2 linked regions of the Drosophila melanogaster genome follow. The protein of the gene in region 2 interacts with the protein of the main gene of each other region in a pairwise test. Each region holds a gene or a part of one and is shown on either strand. Other genes may lie near its edges.

Region 1 (7,743 bases), on a different chromosome or scaffold from region 2:
ACTTACTGACCTCTTTTCCCATGCGACGGCCACTTCCACCTCCACCTCCACTCAATTTTCTTTAATGCACGCGACTCCGCCGCCAATGATCTGCTTCTTCACCTTCCTCCACCCACCGCCAGCGCACAGTGGTTCCAAAACATGTGGAATTTAAGCACCCACAACGCATTTCCCAAAAATGATGATTTATTGCACAAAGTTTTAAGGGAAAGTACTCGTAAGAAAAAAAAGCAACATTAAAATTCTTAAAAAGATTGAATATTAACTTAAAGCTCATATGTCCCGAACCATGAAAGATTAAGGATTATGTTTTGCTTAAGAACATTTATTTACTTACTATTTATAGTTTAAAATATAACTTCATTTTTTATGTTACTAGCAAGTTATTTATTTGGGTAGCATTACTTTGTATTCCTTTTAACATAAGCTAGAATTACTTAACTAAAATATTATTATATCAAATATATAATACCTAAGACAATTAGATAAGGTCTAAGCTCTAATAGCTAAACTATGCCAAAATCAAATATTTTTGTGTGAATGCATTAGTAAACATGCACCTTAAATTGGCATCAGGACACTGTGCAAGGTGATAGTAGGCTATGTGTGTGTGACCCTTATTCGCAACGGCCGCTGAGGCGTAAAATTTATGGCTTTAAAGTCTACAAGTCTATAAACACAGCTTCCAGGCTGCACTTTCTACTGCAACTGCAACTGCCAATGCCAATGCCACTGCAACTGAATCGTGGACTCGGATCGTGAATATTGTATATTGGATGTGGGATGGTATGGCTTGGGTTTGGGCATCGGAGATGTTGGGGGAGCACGGACGTGGATGTGGATGCATCTGATCCGATCGAATCGTATCGTATCGAATCGAATCGAGTGTGTGAGTTATAATTTCAAATGCGGCGCGCCTTTTTGGCTGCATTTTGCTGCCACTTTTGGCAAATTAAATTTGTACGCAAAACCGATTAGGCCAGGCAGACATGACCAAGTTGTTATTTTAAATACCAACAACTCCATTTAATCAATATGCCCCGGCACCCAACAATGCACTCGAAAAACTTGTGGTAGTAAACCGTTAAAGTTTAAAAAGAAATATAGGTCTATTCAAAAAGATCAAGACTAGACTACATTTTTAACTTAAATTTACTTGCTCTCTTTACTGCTCTCAATATATGTTACATTTTGAAAGTTTGAAACTGCACAGACATGCATATCTTTGAATTGTATCCTTTTACAATCCACCATTGCTGTTATTGTACATTATAACTTTTTTATTATTATTCATATATATTTTTATTTTTTCATTGTTTTTCAACTTTAAAAACTTAAAGAAAGCGGTGCTTTTTGTCCTAACTGGAAATACTCTTGATTTAGTATTCAAAAGATGAGTGAATTGTTTCGAGTGTAGCTGCAACAACAACAGCGCTGGATGCTCTGCTCTGCCGTCGCCGACTGCGCTGCCTTTCACCCATATAAATTTCTTTTCATTGCAAATTTTTTGCCATTCGTCGGCGCATTGTCAAACCTTCCAGTCGCATTTGGAGCCCAAGCTTTCCGAGATTTCAGAGCGACTCTAGAGCGCACTAAACAAAGGCCTAAGAAAAAAGTTAAAAAGGCGAAAAAAGAAACAGAGGCAAAGACGACAATACGAATTGTACAAATCGGATGCGAGCGCGAGTGTGTTAGTGCCCATTCATTCATTCATTCATTCGAGAACAATAAAAAAGAAGAAATGAAATACGAAATGCAATCGCCGCAGTTGCAGTCGCAGTCGGCGTCGCAGTAGGCGTCAGCGGAGGCATCGGCCGAGGCAGAACAGTAGCAGCAGCATCGAAATCCGAAAGACAGATCATTTTTCATATGCGAATCGAAACTCGAAGAGCGCGCATCAAAGTCAAATTCAAACGACAAAAGAGTAACGGACAAAAGCGAATTGTTTTGTGCGCATAATAGAAACGAAAAAAAAAAGAAAAACGTTATAAAAAGCAAATAAAAGGAAAATAAAGCCTTACCAGAACCAGTAATTGAAATCAAATTAAAGGCGGGCCGTGCAAAAATCCACAAAACATCAAGAAAAAGCCATAAAGCCAAGGCGATAAAAAAGAAATTATGCTCCATTGTGCGATTGTGTGAAAAGGTCAAGTGCCCGGCAGGCAAAGGGAAAAGCGAAAGAGACAGAAGACAGCGTAAGACACGGGAGCTTGATGTTGATAGGCAAACGAATGAACTCGTAAAAGGGCGCTAAAGAGAGAGAGAGAGAAGGCAACACAACGACATCGGTTAACAAGAAGAGCAGGAAGAAGAAGAAGAAGAGCAGGCCAGGCCCAAATGACCGCAAGATTACCGTTAATTCGAACAGCTTAAGCGCCATTACGAGCAGTTATATAGTCCATATACTATATAGCACCACTATATCTCTATCTCCCTGGTAGATCGACCGAGGAAGAGAAAAAAAAACTTTCATCCACCGTGAGCCGCAGCCGCATAAAAGTTTGCTACTATTTCAATTTCAATTGTTAACGAGCGAAAGCGCCGCACGCCTCAGTCTCACATCACGCACGCATCCGATCCGAGCGGCAACAACAAATCATCAAGCGTCTAATAGGAAAAGTGCAGCAGACAGCCAGCGAAAATGCACCACAAACAGCATCTGCATCTGCATCTGCAGCCCCCCGCCCCAAACGCCACCCAAACACAGGCCCACGGACTTGGCCAGACTCCAAGCCAGATCGCCAGATGCAGCCATAACCACAGCCCCAGTCTGGGCCTCAGCTTTGGCGGCACCAAGAGCCAGCGACAGCTGTTTGGCGCACTCTTGGCCATGTTCACGTTGGCGGCATTTGCGTCAACCACCAGTGGTAAGTCGTACACTGCGAGAAATCCCAAAATTGGTGCTACACGTTGAGTAGAAAGTCACAGGAAGTAGTCTTAGATCATTCGAATCTCTTTCCTGGCATTCTCACTATTCAAATTGTTTAATTGCCTCAAGAAATGAATCAGCTAAAGAAGTATACGTTGATTCAGATTCAGCAAAGTTCCTCCTAACTAAATTAAAATCAGATTAAGATAAAACTAGGTTCCTTAAGCAGAGCATTAAGTCCAATATAATCATAAAAGAGAAAACTGACTATGGAACTCTTAAGCCATTGCTAAAGTAAAGAATGCTCTATTTAAATCCAGATTAGTTAACATTACATTTAAAAGGGCCTAATACAAGTTTCAAAGGGTATTAGTTTTCCTCTTGCTAAATGTACTTTCTCCTAACTATCACATCGTTATTGAGTTGCAGTTAAAACTGCGGACAGAGTTCTAGGGAAACCCGAGTTCTTCAGCGGAAAACGGCAACTGATCTTGAGCTAAATGAAAGTTGCAGACAGACTGGACAAGTCCCAGTGAGTGCCGTCTCAATTACCGCCTAATTTCTCCGGGTGTTGAAACGGAGAAGGTGAATCGGGGTCCGGATCTAAGACCTACAGCTGTGCGGTGGTAGAAAGGCCGTCGCAGCAGCTATTCAACTATCCATTTCTAAGGTACTACTCCGCACAAAGTGAATGTAAACTGGCACACATACACGAGCGCGAAGCTTCCAATGCCCCAACACCTCTCCCCCCACCGCCCCCTAGACCACGAACTCCCCAGTTTGAGGCACTCACTCCTCGACGCACAACATGCTCGTAAATATTTTCGTGCACAATTTGTCCAACATTCGTATAAATTCATTAAAAGCACGAAGGGGCCAAACAGAAGCCGGGGGCCTGAAAACGTAGGGGGGGGGGGGGGCTGGTGGAAGAGGGGCGAATCGCTAGCTCATGGGGGGGGGGGAAAATCAAGCTGACCGCACAGTGGCAGCGAGCTGGAAAGGGTTGGGGGTCAATTGGGGGGGTTACATCGTTTAAAGTTGACCCGAAGCGAAATGATTTATTTGACTTGTAAGCGCGATCGTTTGGCTAATTGATAACCGCACTTCATCGGAGATTGATGGGTGAAAGATCAATTAGTTTTGGATGCTGTGATATATGCTCGCATGCATATACACATATATATGTACATATGTACATATATGTTTTAATGGCCCCAATCAGTGGCGCCGTGATTCATTCATCTATGGGCTTGGTCATGTCGCTGCTCGCCACTGTGCCACACCAAACCGGAGCAAACCGAGTGCACATGGTGTGCTCCATGTGCATATATAGATATGTATGTACATATGTACATATATATATGTACATACCCAGTATATATCATGCAAAAGTCCCTGCCCAGCAGTGCAGTGCGTTGGTTGCTGGATTTTTCCACTTTTGAAAATTATACGGTGGCTGCTTTTATTATTTCTCTCGCCTTTTTTTTTTGCAATTGATGGCATCCGATAGGCAGGAGCCTGCCAGCAATTCGCTGGAGGCCAGGAAAATGCACCTGCACTGGGAGAAATCAGCAGAACATATGAACAAAAGGAAATCAGTAAATCAGAGGTGTATTTAAAATGCAAAATAGTATGGTGTATGGTGTTGTATAAGTTTGTACCATTAGTTTGCATGAGTGATTTGATTCTGAGTTTATCCCAGGACTAGTACCACACTTTTCTGCCAGTGCAGGATTGGTGAGAGTGGGTGGGGCGGTTGAGGTCGCATTGCTGCAATGCTGAATGAGATTGGCTGTGGTCTCGGCTTTTGCCTCTGACCATTCCAGCGGATCGTTTACATGTGCATTAATTCCTAACGCCGCTTAATTTTCTCCGCGCTTAATGGCTCCTCTGGATGCCGATGCCTCCGATTCAGATTCGGACTCGCATCCAGCCAGAGAAGCATCCGAGTCCATTAAGCTGAGAATGCGTCTGCTCGACTGACTGACTGGCTGGCTGGCTGGATGTTGAAATTTCCATCTTTATGGCCGGCAGCAGCAAATTGGAATAATGAACGTGGGTTCAATTATCGCAGCCAAACCATCGTGTGGCAGCCTCAAAGAGCGCTAATAGATTTTCTACTGCTGTTGGGTATGTCTATTTACGTTCGTATATCTTTAACTAAGTTGAGTGCTTCCTCCGGAGGCGGCTCTCACAGCTTTCTTTGCAAACAAAAAAAAAAAAAAAAATAAGAAAAATGGACAAATCAACCCAAACTAAACCAGCAGTTCCACATCCGACCAAAGACAACAGAAATGTTCGGCGCCGGAGGCAATTAGTGTGGAAATTTCACTTGCAGTTTTTAGCACAGATTAAGCTTACGATTTCTGGAGGGGATTAGCATGAACAATTATAGATGGAGGTCGCTGATAGTCCGTATGAACGAAGCGAGTGTATTAGCTGTGCTCAAACCACAGCCAAAACATAAATGCCATTGTGTCGTTTTACTTGGAATCGAGATTTGAAGACGGGTAACATTTGCCGTTGCCGTTAGTAAAAAGGGAAAGAATTATTCAAGTTAATGGCTGGTTACTTGAGTCGGTCATGCGATCACTCCAGAATCAGAGACTGGTCTCGGATGCGGGGGAGTGTCGGCGGGTGGCGGCATGGACACAGTGGGTCACAACTGCGCAAAATGCCCTATGATCGTGCGGCTAATCTGACATTTGTATGCCCACAGTTGACTCTTCCGCATGCCACCGCTAAAGAGCTGTGGAAAATGCGAAGGGAAAGTTTCATTTGGCGGTCTCGAAACAGAGTTACCCTGGGAAAATTCGATGGACAACCGGTCATTACGTGCGGGGAAGTAGTAATTATTACTAAGCTTTGTTTAATAAGTTCATATAACAGAGGAGGAGGAACTACTGTCTTGCTTTAAATGTTTAGAATTAAGTTTCTAGATAGAAACCAATTAAATTCTAAAATCATTTCCATCCACAGGCGCTGTGACAGACTCACCCATCAAGATTATCCGGCTGCCGGCGCAGGCGCCAGTTATCCGCTATCGCAGTGCAGATGCGGCGCCCAACTCATTGCTGATCAACTATCGTCAGGATGCGCGACCGGAGCTGTCGTCCACATTGATGCAGGCACCCGGAGCGGCGGCAGCTGCCTTGGAGTCGCTGCTGCGCGAGGAGACGGAGCAACAGCAGCTGTCACAGATGGGCAGACGGAATAGGGCTAGTAACACCGGCACCGGCAACTGTCCTCGATCCTGTCCACCGAGCATCACCGTGGGAGCTGAGCCCGTGTGCGGCAGCGATGGTCTGATCTATGCGAATATCTGCGAGCTGCGCAAGAAGACTTGCTCCCGCAGTGGAGTGTCGCTGATCAAGGACGTGCGGGATGGCTGCGAGAGGTCGAAGGGTTCGGACTGCAAGCACCGCTGCAGCACGGAGAAGGATCCAGTGTGTGGTACAGACGGAAGGACCTATCTGAATCGCTGCATGCTGAGGGTGCAATCGTGTCGCGTGGGATTGGCTGCAGTGAAGCTATCGCATGTGGGTCCCTGCAGCAACACGAGTGCCGTGCGTGAGTCCTGTCCGGTTGACTGCAACAGTGCGCCGAAGGATGGACCAGTTTGCTCATCGGATGGCAATGTATACAACTCCACGTGCGAGATGAAGCTGAAGACGTGTGGACAGGGTGTGGTGAAAACCAGCCGGAAGCACTGTCAGTCCACACGAATGTGCAGGGAATCCTGCTGGCGTGTGGCGAGGCCCACTTGCGGATCAGATGGCAGACTGTATGCCAGTCCGTGCAAGATGCGCTCTTCCAATTGCGGCAAGCACGTCTTTGAGGTTCCCTTATCCTACTGCATGTCGCAGGAGAGGCACGGAGCCTCCGATGCCTGTCCCACGGAGTGTCCCAAATCGGATACGGATTCCTCGTCGCAGTACGTGTGCGGCAGTGATGGCAACATATACTCTTCGCTGTGTGAACTCAAAATGCTCAATTGCGGGTGAGTTTGGATGAGATAAAAATGGAATATAACCAGACTAAAATTTTATCTTTCAGTCCACAGCGCAAGTCCATTCAAAAAGTGAGCATGGACAAGTGCAAGAATCGACTGACCCGCTGCAAACAGCTGCCTCCTTGCAAGGACTTCAATAGCTTGTTCGGTTCCATCTTCAGCTCGAAGCGAAATGACAAGCTCTGCGGCACGGACGCCAAGACTTATAACAATGAGTGCGAACTGGCCCACGCCACCTGCCTGTGAGTATCCATGATAGGATCATCCATAGGACATGGATCTAGCTCTTCAACTTCTTTTCAGACGCGGCGTGAATCTGGCCCACATTGGTCCCTGCACGGATCTCAATTCGCCCACCAAGGATTGCGGGGATGCCTGTACTCGGGCGGATCTGGAACAGCAGCCAGTGTGCGGCTCGGATGGCAACACCTTCGCCTCCATGTGCGAGTTCAAGCGGCGCACTTGCGATCTGCGTGTGGTGCCCGTTTCGCTAAAGAATTGCGCTTTAACCGCCGACTGCGAATCGGATTGTGATGCCCAGCCGCCAAGTTTCGTCTGCGGATCGGACAACAACTTGTACAAGTCCGAGTGCCACATGCGCAAGGAGAATTGTGGCAAGCATGTTTTCGTGGTGCCACTGAAGCGCTGCCTTGCCGCCTTTCAGCTTAAAGGATGTGCCCGCATCTGTCCCAGGGAATTCGAGCCTGTTTGCGGCAGCGACAATAAAACGTATCTGAACGACTGCTTCCTGGAGATCGAAAACTGCAGGGCGAACCAGACGGTGAACGTCAACTACTACGGCGCCTGTGGCCGCCCCGAAGCACCATCCACTAACTTCCTTTACTAGGACGTATGTATGCGT
Region 2 (3,694 bases):
CCGAAAATCTTCAAACTCGATTTACAACGATATTTATTCTCCCGTGACCAGAGAAAGTCCAGTCCACCAGTGGATATGAATGGTGGTTTATTGTTTGTTTTTGAAAACCGGTCTAAAGTCCCCCAGCACCAACCAAATTGTTGATTGCATCGGAATCGGAATTTCAAGAGATTTAAATGACGTGTCAGCGATTTGTTGAGGTCATTAATAAGTTGAAACAATAGTATTAAGATTCGAATATCTACTATCCATTTAACCACTTACAAGCAATCTATGAAATTACAGAATTAACGTGATTATAAATACCTGCCAGGTGCCGATGCCAATCACGGGCATCTTCTCTCCATTGTTGAACGTTAAGAACTTGGTGTTGACCATTTTGTATTGATTTTTGATAACTTGTACACTAAAACAGACTTGAGTAACAGATTAAATGGAAAAGATGCGGCACAACCTGTTGCTTCGAGGATTGAATTGAAATTAAACAAGAAGCTACGACCCAGTCACCGGCCCACTTATCTCACCCAATCCAATGAGATTCTGCCTTTTGCAAAGCGCGGTCTTACTAGTCGATATTTGTTTAACAAAACAATCGAATTTAAAAATAAATGTACTTACCATAAATGGTTTAAGGCTCGTTTACTATAAAATATCGGACTAATTTATTTGCATTTTAGTTAGATTTAATATTATAACAATAGAAAAATTTGTAGCTCATATCCAAATACTGTATAAGTGTGTGTAAGAAAAATTCAATTCCGTTTCTAAATGATTTTAAGCTTTTAGAGAACAACTAATCCACCACTATGGAGAAGTTAGTGAACGTGAATTCTGAAAGTTCTGTAGTCTCACTGAAAATGCATTTGTCAATTCGACTGGTGGGGCTGCCGGTGTGCTTTAGCCAGAGGCGCCTGTAAAAGAACGGCTTGATAATTAAACGTTGAATGGAAAAAATCACTCACATGGACTCAAAGGAATGTCGGTGTGCTTGAATTTCGCCCTTCACCGTATTCTCGTTGGTGTTTTTGCACCAACCCCGGACTCCCAGCTTTTGAGCTCTTCGCAAGGTGTACTAAAACATGGTAATTGGATTACAGTAAAGAGATTTCACATATACAATAAGAGGTAGCAGAAAATCCATAGCTCAAAGGGGTTTTGAAGATCCCATTTCCCAGCAAGCTCTTACCATTCGAAATGAAACGCCTGTTGGTGCCAGATAACTAATTATTGCGACTATACGATTTGTGAATACCCTACCTTGCACAATGCCGAACACTTCGAATTGGCAGCTGAAGACCGGCTCATCGCTTCTGTCCGATGTTACTCTTTTTTGGAACTCTGTGTTCGAAATTCGGTTGGGCTCCTCGCTGCCTTTTTTGGATGGTGTACCTTTATCTGGTGTCGAAGATGGAAGAGTTACCCTCCTACGTTCACCCTCAGTCTGCGTTTCTTGGGAGGTCATTTTACAACTCGTATATTTAACATATTTGGAGCGGAAACTGTCAAAAATCGATAGGTCGATAGGGATTGAGGGTTTTATTTTGGGTCACCTTGAATTTCAATGGCTTTAAAAACAGTACATTTTAAATGAAATGACTTGAACAAGGTAAAACAAAAACAATAGCAAAAGTTACGTTTTCTTATTGTCAACAAATGAACACTTATGTTGAAAATTCGACAGCAATCCTAGAGCGGTATTTTTAGATCTAGCTTTTTTAGCCTTTTTTAAATCGTCGGTCGACCCGATCAGTCTGGTTCGGGCTATCGGGGCATGTAAGGGTCACCCTGTGTTCAAGGCGGTTCGTTGGAACCAGTTCCGAACTGTCTTTGAACAAAACAAAATCACCCAGACAAAATAGTGAATTACAAATATTACGCAGATTCTACATCAACGCACTATGCATACCGTGTACGCGCTTCTGAAGAACAAGCTGAGCGATGTGCATCCCCTACACAACATCGATCTGACGCGGGATGTGGCCTACCTAAAGGCGGTGGTGACCAAAGAGATGCACTTGCAATTCGACGCCAGCGAGTTGGGTGAGTGACCCTCGGGATTCAAATCGCTGTCCATTGTCTCTATTGTGTCAAGTCATTTGCTGCGCACTTGCAGAGATCATCCACCACGGACGCGTGCTGGAGGACGCAGACACCCTCAACCGAACGCTGCAGCCCAACGCCGTGATCCACTGCTTTCAGAAGATTAAACGTTACTCGCCGTATGTGCCGCCAGCCGCCGCCGAAATCAACACGAAGCATATTCAAGAGCTGTTTTCGTTGACCTCGCACCTGCAAATCAGCGTTACCTCGCGGTTCAACATTCTGCAGAAGATACTCGCTGAGTATCCGGAATTTAGGCGAAATCTGGGCGCCCAGGCCCTTATTCGCGACTCCGTACTGTTCAACATGCTGCACGAGCCGGAAGTGGTCCAAAATCTCGTTAAAGATTATCCCCTCATCTGCGAGGCCGCTCCATTCATAGTGGACACCATTCGCAAGGAGCTAGCCAGAAATAGCTCGGCCACGCAGTGTAACTAATGCCGTATCTATTCTTGATTTGTATATTTTACCCGTTTCTTCCTTTTTAGTGCAGGAGCAAGCTGCTTCGGAGTCTACTACTTCGTCAGAGGAGGAAAACTCTCTGGGTGCAGGCAGCAGCAGCAGTGGTGGAAGCAGCAGCACAGCCGTGGCAGCTGCCGCGGCCGCCAATCGGCGTGATGAGATGGCCAACATCCGTCAGATTAGCCGCCAGCAACTGGCTAACGCATTGGCTAACGTGACCCCGTTTAATTCACTGTCGAATATTGCGCAGAGAAACGCGGACGAGGCCGTGCAGGGTGATGAAAGACCTAGAACCACCTCGGCGCCATTAGCAGGCGTTGGAGGAGCAGCGGGAACAGGCGCAGGAAGCAGCAGTGGAGCCATCAGCAGCGGATCCATATCCTCAGAGTTGCTCCGCAACGAGCTGGCCCGCGCTTTTCAGTCCCTGTCGCAGGATCAACCGGCGCCTGTGGAGAACATGGAGGTGGAGTCCGGAGAAGGACCAGTACCAGAGCAAGCCGCCACAGCACCAGCCGATGATGTAGATGACGAGGACGATGGTGGAGACGACAGTGATGTGCTGCCACGCCGCTACCGTCGCCATCGGTTCACCGAACAACTGCGTACCATGGCCGCCATGGGCTTCATTAATCACACTCAGAACGTTAGTTATCTAGAACTTTCCGATGGGAATGTGGAACACGCTATTAATCTGCTTATGCTGAGCATGAATTAATAAGGATCGGAATTGACTAAAAAGCCAACATAATGTGCTTACTTTACGGACTTATATTTATTCTGCTGCTGAGGATTCTGAAGCATTAAACTCCCAACTTAAGCAAGGAATATCTCTTAATAACTTTTAATAATTAAATATACGTTTAGAGGAGTCATCTTTGTAAGCTAATTGGGGTGGGATTGCGGAGTTTGGGCATGGGGGTAAAAGCCGGCCGTACAAAAGGTTTCCACTAAATTATACTAGTTGATTAGATAGTCCAGCGCCTTGTCCTTATTATTGTTGAACTTGAGTAGCGCCGCCGAGATTTTCGATTCGTCAAAACCGAGGTCCAGAAGTTCTCCCAGTGGAATAAGGTGTTCGATAATCTGAAAAGACGTCCCAGATCGGAATAATGCATTTTGCAAAAGTTTTCGA

Evidence for each region. Proteins that work in one complex are often made in the same cells at the same time.
Region 1: the proteins of CG11052 (region 2) and CG32354 interact in a two-hybrid assay, tested with the Drosophila melanogaster proteins (one large-scale study listed by BioGRID).

The regions. Positions count from the first base shown.
Region 1 is NT_037436.4:8,415,965-8,423,707, reverse strand, and holds the start of CG32354 (uncharacterized protein), read left to right. Parts: upstream 1-1,502; 5' UTR 1,503-2,641; coding exon 2,642-2,867; intron 2,868-5,848; coding exon 5,849-6,869; intron 6,870-6,925; coding exon 6,926-7,123; intron 7,124-7,184; coding exon 7,185-7,728; 3' UTR 7,729-7,743.
Region 2 is NT_033777.3:8,007,590-8,011,283, forward strand, and holds CG11052 (uncharacterized protein), read right to left. Parts: upstream 1,709-3,694; 5' UTR 1,635-1,708; exon of another isoform or gene 1,566-1,634; 5' UTR 1,463-1,565; coding exon 1,258-1,462; intron 1,204-1,257; coding exon 1,187-1,203; intron 1,073-1,186; coding exon 963-1,072; intron 912-962; coding exon 794-911; 3' UTR 660-793; downstream 1-659. Other genes in the region: CG2767 (uncharacterized protein), read right to left, coding at 307-378; CG3223 (uncharacterized protein), read left to right, coding at 1,899-2,040, 2,114-2,530, 2,589-3,277; CG10435 (uncharacterized protein), read right to left, coding at 3,520-3,645.